3 linked regions of the Oryctolagus cuniculus genome follow. The protein of the gene in region 1 interacts with the protein of each later gene in a pairwise test. Links are inferred from orthologs where the notes say so. Each region holds a gene or a part of one and is shown in the gene's direction. Other genes may lie near its edges. The genes, in order: MYOD1, ID1 and ID2.

Region 1 (4,226 bases):
GGTGGTGGGAAAGGCACTTCAAACTTCAATGACCGGATTCCAGAAGGGGTGAATGGTGGAGAGCAATTTGCAGCCCGAGCAGGGAGAGGAGGGTGAGGACTGCAGATTCAGGAAGATGTTGTGAGGCCCCATGGGGGGCGGAGGGGTGTGCTGAGGCTTGTAGGGGAGCCAGATTTGGGGCGGCTGCCTGCTCCTTCTGCTTCCAGCCTCTCCAGGATGCCTGCAAGGGAGCAACACGGCTGAGGCTTCTGCAGGAGCCGAGCCTGGGGATTGCTTGGGCACCTTCCGGGGCTTTGTGCCCCAGGGGAGGGCTAGGGAGCCCACTGGGCACACTGCTGCAGCTGGTGCTCAGGACAGAGCAGGCCCTCTGACTACCATGGCCCTGCACCTCGGACCGAGGACTTCTGCATCCTTGATCTCTCCAGCTTCTCAGCACTAAGCAACTGCCCCAAGAAAGTCCTCCTATCCCCATATTGAAGCAAACGGCAACTGAGGCTGGGGAAGGAGGTGTGGCTTCCACAGAATCACACAGCTGGGAAACTGGGGATTTGGGTCCCCCCTGGTGGGCAAATGCCATTCTCAAAGAGTTCTCAGGCCAGGTCCCCGCCTCGAGGATCTCTGCGAAAGGCATTTCCCGGGTCTGCGGGGGGTCTGGAGCAGACGCAAGCCCTGCGCAAAGGGAGTTCACTTCCCAGCCCAGGAGGCTCTCAGCCTAGCCCCAGGGACACCCGGCGTCAAGGGCGAGGGTGGGCTGGGCGTGAGTCCACCTCACTGCCTGCAGACCCCGCACGACCCGAGTTCGGAGAGAGGGGCTAGATTAAGCTCCAGCAGCGAGATCCACGCCCGAATAGACGCAGCTGGGTTTCTCAGCGTTCAGGAAAGACGAGCAGGGCCCGCGCAGCCCTCTGAGTGACTCTCAGGACAGGGACAGGGACTGGCCGAGTGGCTCTGCCCCCGCGTCCGGTGCGTCTCTGCCTGGCCCCTCCGTCTCTGGGCCTCTTTGGTGGTGGTGGTGGGGTCTCGCCTTTGCACCACCTCAGCCCTAATTGTGTCTCTGCCCCATTACTTTGCATCTCTCTCAAATCTCTCCTGATCTCATTTCTGCCCCGGCTCTGCTCCTGGTTTCCGCACAAATACGGGACCGAGTAAGAGCCAAACTCCGCCCGGAGGGAAGTGAGCGCCCAGGGCCAGCGTTTCCCGCGAACACAGGAGTCGCGTGTTGGAAAGGGTGTGCCTAGGAGCCAAGCGCAGCGGGTCAGGCTGCCAGTCTGCCGCGCTCCCTGCTCCGGGAGGGACCGGAGTGCGCGCGCGCGCGCTGGTGTCCACGGGCGGGAGGGGGGCCACTCTCTCGCCCTGGCGGCCACCCCGAGGACCCAGAGCTCCGCCCTCCTCTGTTCCTATTGGCCTCGTGCTCCCCCGCCCCCGCCCCCTCAACCGGCTTGGGCTCCCGGGGCGCTTAGGCTACTACGGATAAATAGCCCGGGGCGCCTGGCACTAAGCTAGGGCCGGGGAAGCCCCAGGGCACTGCCGCCGCTCTGCTCGCCGCAGGTCCAGCTGGCCAGGACGCGGCGGGGTGGCGGACAGTCGGGTGTGCCCTCAGACCCCCGGCACTCTGCCATCGCACGGCTGGGGTTCCCCAGCGACAGAAAGTTCCGGGCAACCCCTGCCGCCCGGGTTGGTGAGGCCGGGCCCGCGCCGCCCTGCGCTGGGACATGGAGCTGCTGTCGCCGCCGCTCCGAGACGTGGACTTGACGGGCCCCGACGGCTCCCTCTGCTCCTTTGCCGCAGCGGACGACTTCTATGACGACCCGTGTTTCGACTCCTCGGATCTGCGCTTCTTCGAGGACCTGGATCCGCGCCTGGTGCACGTGGGCGCGCTCCTGAAGCCCGAGGAGCACACGCATTTCCCCGCCGCCGTGCACCAGGCCCCGGGCGCGCGCGAGGACGAGCATGTGCGCGCGCCCAGCGGGCACCACCAGGCCGGCCGCTGCCTGCTGTGGGCCTGCAAGGCGTGCAAGCGCAAGACCACCAACGCTGACCGGCGCAAGGCCGCCACCATGCGCGAGCGGCGCCGCCTGAGCAAAGTGAACGAGGCCTTCGAGACGCTCAAGCGCTGCACGTCCAGCAACCCCAACCAGCGGCTGCCCAAGGTGGAGATCCTGCGCAACGCCATCCGCTACATCGAGGGCCTGCAGGCTCTGCTGCGCGCCCAGGACGCCGCGGGCCCTGGCGCCACCGCCTTCTACGCGCCCGGCCCACTGCCCCCAGGCCGCGGCGGCGAGCACTACAGCGGCGACTCGGACGCGTCTAGCCCGCGTTCCAACTGCTCCGACGGCATGGTAAGGCCTGGACGCCAGGCGGAAGGAGGGGAGGCAGCCCTGGGGCGTGGGGGTGGGGGAAGGAGTGGGTGGGTCTGGAGCCTTTCCCGAGGGCGGGGAGCTGGCCCTCGCGACAGGCATGGGCGGACAGGGGCCCGACCCAGAAGTGGACTCGCGTGGCTCCGGCGGCTGTCGCTGAGGTAGCCTAGGGCTTTGGAAGCACGCAGGACGGGTACAGTCGGCACGGCTGGGACGCTGTTACAAAACTTGTTGAGGGATCTGCTCCTTTCCTCCATGGATCCCTGTTTCCAAAATGCAGATCTGAGTCCTGCCTCGTTTGGCTCTGGACTCTGCGGTGCGCGGCTCCTGTCCACCCAGGACAGATCCGGGACCAGAAGCCCTCGGCTGAGTCTCGGGGAGCTGGGGAGGGGGTTGCTCCTGGGAGTGGCGCTCCGGTCCCGCGGGCCTGACGCGGTCCCCCCAACCCTTTGCAGATGGACTACAGCGGCCCCCCGAGCGGCGCGCGGCGGCGGAACTGCTACGACGGCGCCTACTACAGCCAGGCGCCCAGCGGTGCGTATCCCGCGCCTCCTCCATGTCCCTCTCCCAGCCGCCCTGGCTTCCCTCCACCTAGGACCCCCCCAACCCCGCCCCACATAGCCTGGCAATGGTGCGGGGGATGAAGCCCTGGCGGGTCGCGTGCCCTGCCGTCGTCCCGCACCCTCGCTGGATGGTTTCAGACTCCCGCAAGTCCTCCGAAGCACAAGGGGGCTCAGGGGTGGAGGAGGTAGCCGCGGCTCCACCCCTGCTCACTCCCCTGCCCTCCCCGCGCAGAACCCAGGCCCGGGAAGAGTGCCGCCGTGTCCAGCCTTGACTGCCTGTCCAGCATCGTGGAGCGCATCTCCACGGAGAGCCCCGCTGCGCCCGCGCTCCTGCTGGCGGACGCGCCACCGGAGTCGCCCCCTCGCCAGCAGGAGGCGGCCGCCGAGAGCGAGGGCGAGCGCGGAGCACCCACGCCGGCCCCGGACACCGCCCCGCGGTGCCCTGCGACCGCAAACCCCAACCCCATCTACCAGGTGCTCTGAAGGGGAGGGCTGCCTCGTGCAAGGGCGCCGCTGCCTACGCGCCCGAGGGACGGAGCCCCTGGGGTTCCTTCGTGCCCCCAAGATTGAGCTTAAAGCGACCCTCCGCCCCCTCCTCCGCGGTGGCAGAGACGGGGGGAACCCGGTCCCCGGCCCCAGGGCGAGCTCACGGTGGGTGTCTTCCACGCCGCGCCTGCCCTGGCCGCTGGGCGATCGCCGGCAAGCCGGGGCTGATCCTTCCGCTTCCTCGACGCCTCCCCAGTAGGGGGAACTGGATCGCCGCGGACCCAAGCCCGGCCCCGCCCCACCTCCGTAGCTACATCCTTTCAAGCTCCTCCCATCGCACCTGCGGGATGCGCGCCAGTCCCGCAGGTAACCCACCCCAACCCCGCCCTCCGGTTCAGGACCACTTTTTATAATACTTTTTTGTAATCTATTCCTGTAAATAAGAGTTGCTTTGCCAGAGCAGGAGCCCCGAGGGCTGTATTTATCTCTGACGCATGGTGTGCGGTGCAACGGCGACTTTCTATGTTTATACGGCAGGCGGGCGAGCCGCGGGCGCTCGCTCAGGTGTTCGAAATAAAGACGCTAATTTATGCCGCGGTGGCTCCGGCTTTCCCCGGGCTCGGGGGCGGGATCCGGAGGAAAACCCGCGAGCTGGGCCAGCTGTCTCGCAGCGACCCCTACAGGCGACAGGCAGATTGCAAGGAGGAAGACCGCTCAGGGTCGAGGGAGTGGGGATGCCTCCAGAACACACACTGGGGTTTCTCTGAGTTTGATCTGCATCACACGCAAGGCGGTGGCTCTCATGGAAGCGTGCACATCA
Region 2 (3,287 bases), on another chromosome or scaffold:
TGGCCATAGGCAGCGGAGGAGCCATCATGCCAGTCTCCTATGCAGGCAGCACTTTGTCCCTGCTCAGGCCTCAGCTTCCCCGCTGGTGGCACGCCCGCCCGGGGCTCTCAGAAGGAAGGAGCTGCATTGCCATAACGAGCCTTGTGCATCAGCTGCGACTCCTGCAGACTTCCTAAGCCTCGGTTCTGCACGGCTCCGCTCGCCGGACGCGCGGAGAGAATCGCCGAAAACCCGAAGGCAAAGGCTTCCCACCGTGCCTGTCGGGAGGCGAGAATGGGGGTGCTGCCCGCTCTCGAAATACCAGAACGTGAAGCACCCGGGGCTCTCGGAGCAGGCACGACTCGCAGAACTGCAATTGGAACTCGGGCCTCTTTCCCCTAAAGAGATTGGGGCGGGCGGGGGGGGGACCCTCCCAAGCTGCGGGGCTGGGCAGGGGGCCTCGCAGGTGTGGGGCCGCGAGGTACGGCGACCCCTGCCCGGCACCCGCGCCCGCGAGCGCCGCATTCCCAGGCCTCCCGCCCGGGGTCTGCAGGTGACGGCGGGGGGAGCGCGCGGACGCTCCCGCCCGGTTTGCCGTCTCCATGGCTACCGCCCGCGCGGCGCCAGCCTGACAGCCCGTCCCGGTTTTATGAATGGGTGACGTCACGAGCCTGGCGTCTAACGGTCTGAGCCGCTTGTTCAGACGCTGACACAGCCCAGCCCGGGAGAGAGGGGGGCGGCTGGAGCGCCGCAGCTGCCGCGCCGTGGGAGGGAGACCCCGCTCGAGGTCTTCGAGGGGAATAAGAACCCAGCCAAAAAAGGGAGAAAAACTAAGTCACTAGCTGCTGCAGATGCCTGCAGGCAGGGCTGCACACGCGGGGTAGAGTCCTCTGTGCGCCTTCTGCGTAGTTCGGGGCCCAGAGACCCAGCCCCTAACCCTGCAGGGATCTGGGTGGGCCCTCCGGGCCCCAGGAGCAACCACAACTGCGTTCCCCGGCGACCAGCCCCGGGAGCAGGGTGTAAAGGTCAGCTCGCCTTCAGTTTCGGCCCCGGTTCCTGGAGGTCCGAGAGAGGCCGGAAACGCGGGGGCCAGCCCTGGGCTCTCTGGGAGACCCAGAGGCCACCACGTCTCCGTCCGGGCCTCAGTTTACCTCATCTGTAGAATGGAACCGAGAGGTGAGAGCGTGAACATAGGAATATGGCTCCTGAGGCCTTTCAGTCATCGGCAGTACCGCTCTCGCCTCCTTCCTGAGGAGCCCAAAGCAGTGCCCACCGCCACACGCCGCCCTGGCCGGTGCCCTCGCGCCCTGCCCGTTCCCGAGACCTGGGCTGCCGTTCCACCCACTGGCGGGTGCGCCCCTGGAGCAGGAGGAGGGACCCAGGAGGCCGAGGTCACGCCCCCAGGCCCCCATTGGCTGCTTTTGAACGTTCTGACCCCGCCCCTCGGGGGGGGCACGTGGCGTCTCTATAAAAGCGCGAGGGTGGCGCGGCGTTCTCGCATTCTACAACCGTCTCCTGCGCGCTTTGAGCTCGCTTGCAAGCCCGGCACTCGCCTCCTCGTCGCCTTCGGCACTCTCTCCCAGCCGGTCGCCAGAACCATGAAGGTCGCCAGTGGCAGCGCCGCGGCCGCCGCGGGCCCCAGCTGCGCGCTGAAGGCCGGCAAGGCGGCGGGCGGCGCGGGCGAGGTGGTGCGCTGCCTCTCCGAGCAGAGCGTGGCCATCTCGCGCTGCGCGGGCGGCGGCGGGACGCGCCTGCCCGCCCTGCTGGACGAGCAGCAGGTGAACGTGTTGCTCTACGACATGAACGGCTGCTACTCGCGCCTCAAGGAGCTCGTGCCCACCCTGCCCCAGAACCGCAAGGTGAGCAAGGTGGAGATCCTGCAGCACGTGATCGACTACATCAGGGACCTGCAGTTGGAGCTGAACTCCGAGGCTGAGGTCGGAACCCCAGGGGGCCGGGGGCTGCCCGTGCGGGCTCCGCTAAGCACCCTCAACGGCGAGATCAGCGCCCTGACGGCCGAGGTGAGCCCTGGGCTACCGTCGGGGCTGGGTCGGGGTCGGGGGCTGCACCGCGTCCGCTCCATGCTTTGGGGCACCTGGCGGGGCAGGGATGCCCAAGGACACCGGGAAAGTGTCTCCTGGGGAGGCGGCGGGTGGGCTGCGCCTGCTGCACCTGCCCCCCTGTGCAGCCCTCCGTCTCACCTCTGGCTCGTTTTCACAGGCGGCGTGTGTTCCCGCGGATGATCGCATCTTGTGTCGCTGAAACGCCACCCCCAGGCGCTGGCGGACCCCGGCGCTCCGGGGGGCAGCACGAGTCAGCGCTCCCGGGTAACCCCCAGTGTCGCAAGACCCGGGAGAAACCAGACAGATCTACGGCCCTCGGGCCCCTGCCGAGTCCGGCCCGGGGCCGGGGGCCCGCGGTGGAGGGGCCGACCCTCTCTCCACGCCTACCAGCCACCAGAGACTTTGGGGGGTGGCATTCCCCCGTGTGTTTCTATTTTTTGAAAAGCGGACATTTTAAAAAATGGTCACGTTTGGTGCTTCTCAGATTTCTGAGGAAATTGCTTTGTATTGTATATTACAATGATCACCGGCTGAGAATATTGTTTTACAATAGTTCTGTGGGGGGTGTTTTCTTTTTTGTTATTAAACAAATACTTTAGATGGTGGTGAAGTTGCAGTGACTTCTCTCATGGCGGGGAGGGGAGGGGAGGGGCTGGAGCCGGGGGTTGAACTCTGACCCTTGCTGCAGCTGGTGCTGGGAGGAGGGGGCCTGCAGGGCCACATCTGGACTGTGGCTCTTAGCGACCTGAATGAGTGTTTCCGGTGTCTTTAAAGTCTTTTCTTTCCCCCCATCCTTGGCCATTTCCCTGCTCCCTAGTGTCATAAAATTAAATCCTCTACACGCTGGGCTCACTCTCAGAGTGGTCCGGGCCATCTGGATCACCTGGGGAGGCTGTTAAAATGCAGATGAACCTGCTGGGGGCCCCCTCCGGGATGGGGGAGCAGTGAGGCCGTTGAAGTGGGAGAACCAGGTTGCGGGCCTCCCGCCTCCCCCCACCAGGTGGGACCCAGAGCCCTCTCTGTCCCCAGTTCCCCAGAAAGAGGTTGCTCTCGCAGCAGGCTGCCCTGCGGCTCCCAGCTTGTCCAAGTGGGTGAGCAAGTTGGCAGGGCCCGGCTGGGCACAGCTGCTGGGCCACCTGCTTTGGGTCTGCACCCAGCCGCCTCACCCTGGCCGGGCTCTGCCAGCAGCTCACTGAACCGCCTCTGCCCTGGGGCGCCTGTGTGGGCCCGGAGAGGAGTGGGCGA
Region 3 (3,220 bases), on another chromosome or scaffold:
CGGTTAGTGACTCGGTCTTTAGCTCATGCAACGCCGCACTGCCCCTCAAACGAGCAGAGCCGGGTGCCTGGCCGGAGAACCGGGTCCCGCAGGGTCTCCAGGCGGCCCGGACCGCGGTCCCCGCAAGCAGCCGCCTTACCGCGCAGGGGCACGAGCGCTCGGGACTGGCGGGGCCCTCCACGCACGGAGTCCGTGCGCCGGAGCCAGCCCCAAAGGTGCGTGTTCACGCGGCTGTGGTGGTACACAGAGCACTGCATCGTGGGCCCGAAGTGCCCGGACACAGTCAGTCCCTGCGCGGCACAGACGCGCGGCGCCTCCCAGGGCTGGAGCCAGGGGGCGGCCAGAGCCCGCAGGGCCCCGCGTGCGGGTGCGGGGTCCCGGCGTGGAGGCCGCCCCGCTGCCCCTTCCGGGCACGCACCGCGGGCGCCGAGCAGGCCTGGGGGCCGTGGAGGTCAGGGGCCGCCTGGCCCTCGCCGTGGCCGCCCGCGTGGGCTTTGCATCCAGGCTGGGCTCGGCCCCCTTGCTCCCTCCGGATGCGGGACCGGTGCGGAGCCCTGTGCGTGGCTGGCTGAGAACTTTAATCAGACTACGAGCGTGGAGTTCTTTTAACTAGTCAAATAAATGAAGTTGCGTCCAGTACCCGTGCCAAGACCGCCAACCTCGCCCACGGCGGGCACCGGCTGTCCGAGAGCCGTCCGCTGCGGGACGCGCCATGTGCAGACCCCTGCGGCTCCCGCAGCCGGCCCGCTCCCGCCGGGGCACCCCGCAGCGCGGGCGGGCCCAGTCCCCGGCGAGCGCCCCCAGCCGGAGTGCGTGAGGCGGGCCTCGGCCTCTGGTCCCGCAGCTCTGCCCTGTCCGGGAACACGCAGCCCGTCTTGCACGCGTCTCCACTCTCCCCCGAAACGCCCGCTGTGGGGTTCCACTCGCCGGCGTCGCTGTGGCTCCGGACGGCGGCGGGGCTCGACCCGCCCGAGCTGGGCACCAGCAGTGCGGGTGCGCGCGGGGGCTGCCCCGCGCCCCGCGCCCGGCCCGCGCGCACTGTACTCTATTTACCCCCGCAGCTGCGCCCGGCCCGCCCACCCCGCGGGGATTGGCTGCCAACGCGGAAGGACCGAGCGCTCGCCCCGCGCCCGCGCCCGCCAATGGCGGTGCCCGCTCGGCCTGATGGACGCGCCGCCCTCCGCCAATGGGGACGGGAGGAGGCCCGCGCGTGCGGCGCCGGCGAGCGCGTATAAAAGCCGGCGCGCGGGGCCCGGGCTCCACTCTGCCGAGCGCTGCGCGCGGAGCAGGCGGCGGCCCGGCCTCTCCCTCCCCCTCGGTCAGCATGAAAGCCTTCAGCCCGGTGCGGTCCGTCCGGAAGAGCGGCGTGTCGGAGCACGGCCTGGGCGTCTCCCGCAGCAAGACCCCGGCCGACGACCCCATGAGCCTGCTCTACAACATGAACGACTGCTACTCCAAGCTCAAGGAGCTGGTGCCCAGCATCCCGCAGGACAGGAAGGTCAGCAAAATGGAAATCTTGCAGCACGTCATCGACTACATCCTGGACCTGCAGCTCGCGCTGGACTCGCAGCCCGCCGTGGTCGGCCTGCACCACCCGCGGCCGCCGCTGACCACGCTCAACACGGACATCAGCATCCTGTCCCTGCAGGTGAGCCGGCCGGCGCCGCGGGCGCGGGCGGGGGGCGTGCGTGCGTGCGGTCTCCCCGGGCTGACGCGGGGCCTGCTTCGTCTTCCTCCCCAGGCGTCCGAGTTCCTGCCGAGCGACAGCAAGGCGCTCTGTGGCTGAGCGGACGGTGAGTGTGCGGTGCGGGAGCGCCCCGCGGGGCGTGCGTGTCCGCGCCGGCCCGCGGGCGCACTTGCGGGGAAGGTGGCCGGGGGCTGCCCGTGCGGGGCCGCGAGGAGCCCCGCGTGTTTCCGCTCGCGCACCTGCCCGCCGCGCCTCAGCTGTGCCTCTCTCTCCTTCTGCAGGTGCCCCTGGCTTGGTATTTTTTTTATTTTTTCTCTTTGCACAACAACAAAACACCAACAAACGCACAGGACCTTGGAAGGCGAAGCGGACACGTCGAATGGACCTTTTGCAAAAGGGGAAAAAAAATTTTTTTAAAAATTTTTAAAATGGACGGAGACGGAGGAACGCCGTCGTCCGCGCGTGTCCTCGGCCTGCGCTGCGACTCTGGTTCCTGGGAGACGCGGGCGCCTCGCGTGCGGGTGGATGGCGGTTCCCTGGGTCCCGCGCGCGCTGTGGGCGCGAGCACGTGGAAGTCGCAGGCGGTCGCCGGGTCGCAGCAGACTTTGCCTTTCTGCAGAGGTGGAGCGTGAATAAAACCCCCAGGCGGTCGCCGAAGCCAGAAGTGCCCCTGGGCGCCGTGTACATATTTATATATAAATTATACGTCTATACATATATATATATATGGGGCGAGCCTCCCTGTACAGCGGCAGACGCACACCGCGTGACGACGGACTCGTTCAGGCTGAACTTTTTATAAAAGTTTGCTTGTCAACTTCACCGTTTTATACGAAATAAACCGAGCGCGCTGGCCGAGCCGTGCCGCCTGCGTTATTTCGGGCCCTGAGCGCTGCCCTGAGCCAACCGGACACGCGCGAGTGTGAGTCCGCGGGGGCTGTGCGGGGAGCGCACCGCGCGTCTGACGTCGGCACCCGGGGTCCCGGGCGGGGAGCCGGAGCCCGGCGGCGTCGGGCAAGGGGTCGGGCCGGCTGGGAACCTGGGATGAGCGCCCTGGGGCCGGGGGCGCTTGCCGGCACGGGCCCCGGCCCCTGCGGCTCACCTGGGAGCGGGAGGCGAGGCCCTGGGGTCCGGATTCCCGCGGCCTGGTTTCGAGCGGGGAAGGGAGTAAACGGCCGGTCCACCTGCGCGCAGGCCGCGCCGCGCGGGGGAAAGCCCTGCGGAGCGCGCCCAGGGACGGACCGGGCCCCTGGGACGGCTGGCGCCGGGGTGGAGGCGGGCACCCAGGGCAGCGGGGCGGGGTAGGGGCGGCTGCGGGCTCCGGGCCGAGCCCCGCGGGCCGCCGCTGCTGATAATGGTGCCGCGAGGGGAGGTCAGGGTTGCGGGGGCAGCCGTGGTGGCGCCGGGCGGGCGGCCGCGCTCTGCGGCTCGGCGCGGGCCGGGACGCGGCCGGACCGTGGAGGCCGGGCTCCCCCTGCTGGCGGGCGCAGGGACTGCGGGGAAGCGAGGCACTGGCGGCCCCCGCGCGGGACC

Evidence for each region.
Region 2: the proteins of MYOD1 (region 1) and ID1 interact in a two-hybrid assay, tested with the Homo sapiens proteins (5 studies listed by BioGRID). The link is inferred for Oryctolagus cuniculus from reciprocal best matches to the Homo sapiens genes MYOD1 and ID1.
Region 3: the proteins of MYOD1 (region 1) and ID2 interact in a two-hybrid assay, tested with the Homo sapiens proteins (2 studies listed by BioGRID). The link is inferred for Oryctolagus cuniculus from reciprocal best matches to the Homo sapiens genes MYOD1 and ID2.

The regions. Positions count from the first base shown.
Region 1 is NC_091432.1:48,597,234-48,601,459, reverse strand, and holds MYOD1 (myoblast determination protein 1), read left to right. Parts: upstream 1-1,426; 5' UTR 1,427-1,712; coding exon 1,713-2,339; intron 2,340-2,812; coding exon 2,813-2,891; intron 2,892-3,152; coding exon 3,153-3,403; 3' UTR 3,404-4,000; downstream 4,001-4,226. UniProt on the Homo sapiens protein: Acts as a transcriptional activator that promotes transcription of muscle-specific target genes and plays a role in muscle differentiation. Together with MYF5 and MYOG, co-occupies muscle-specific gene promoter core region during myogenesis.
Region 2 is NC_091442.1:26,079,521-26,082,807, reverse strand, and holds ID1 (DNA-binding protein inhibitor ID-1), read left to right. Parts: upstream 1-1,465; 5' UTR 1,466-1,577; coding exon 1,578-2,000; intron 2,001-2,199; coding exon 2,200-2,241; 3' UTR 2,242-2,647; downstream 2,648-3,287. UniProt on the Homo sapiens protein: Transcriptional regulator (lacking a basic DNA binding domain) which negatively regulates the basic helix-loop-helix (bHLH) transcription factors by forming heterodimers and inhibiting their DNA binding and transcriptional activity.
Region 3 is NC_091433.1:193,253,041-193,256,260, reverse strand, and holds ID2 (DNA-binding protein inhibitor ID-2), read left to right. Parts: upstream 1-1,249; 5' UTR 1,250-1,324; coding exon 1,325-1,648; intron 1,649-1,741; coding exon 1,742-1,786; 3' UTR 1,787-1,793; intron 1,794-1,968; 3' UTR 1,969-2,545; downstream 2,546-3,220. UniProt on the Homo sapiens protein: Transcriptional regulator (lacking a basic DNA binding domain) which negatively regulates the basic helix-loop-helix (bHLH) transcription factors by forming heterodimers and inhibiting their DNA binding and transcriptional activity.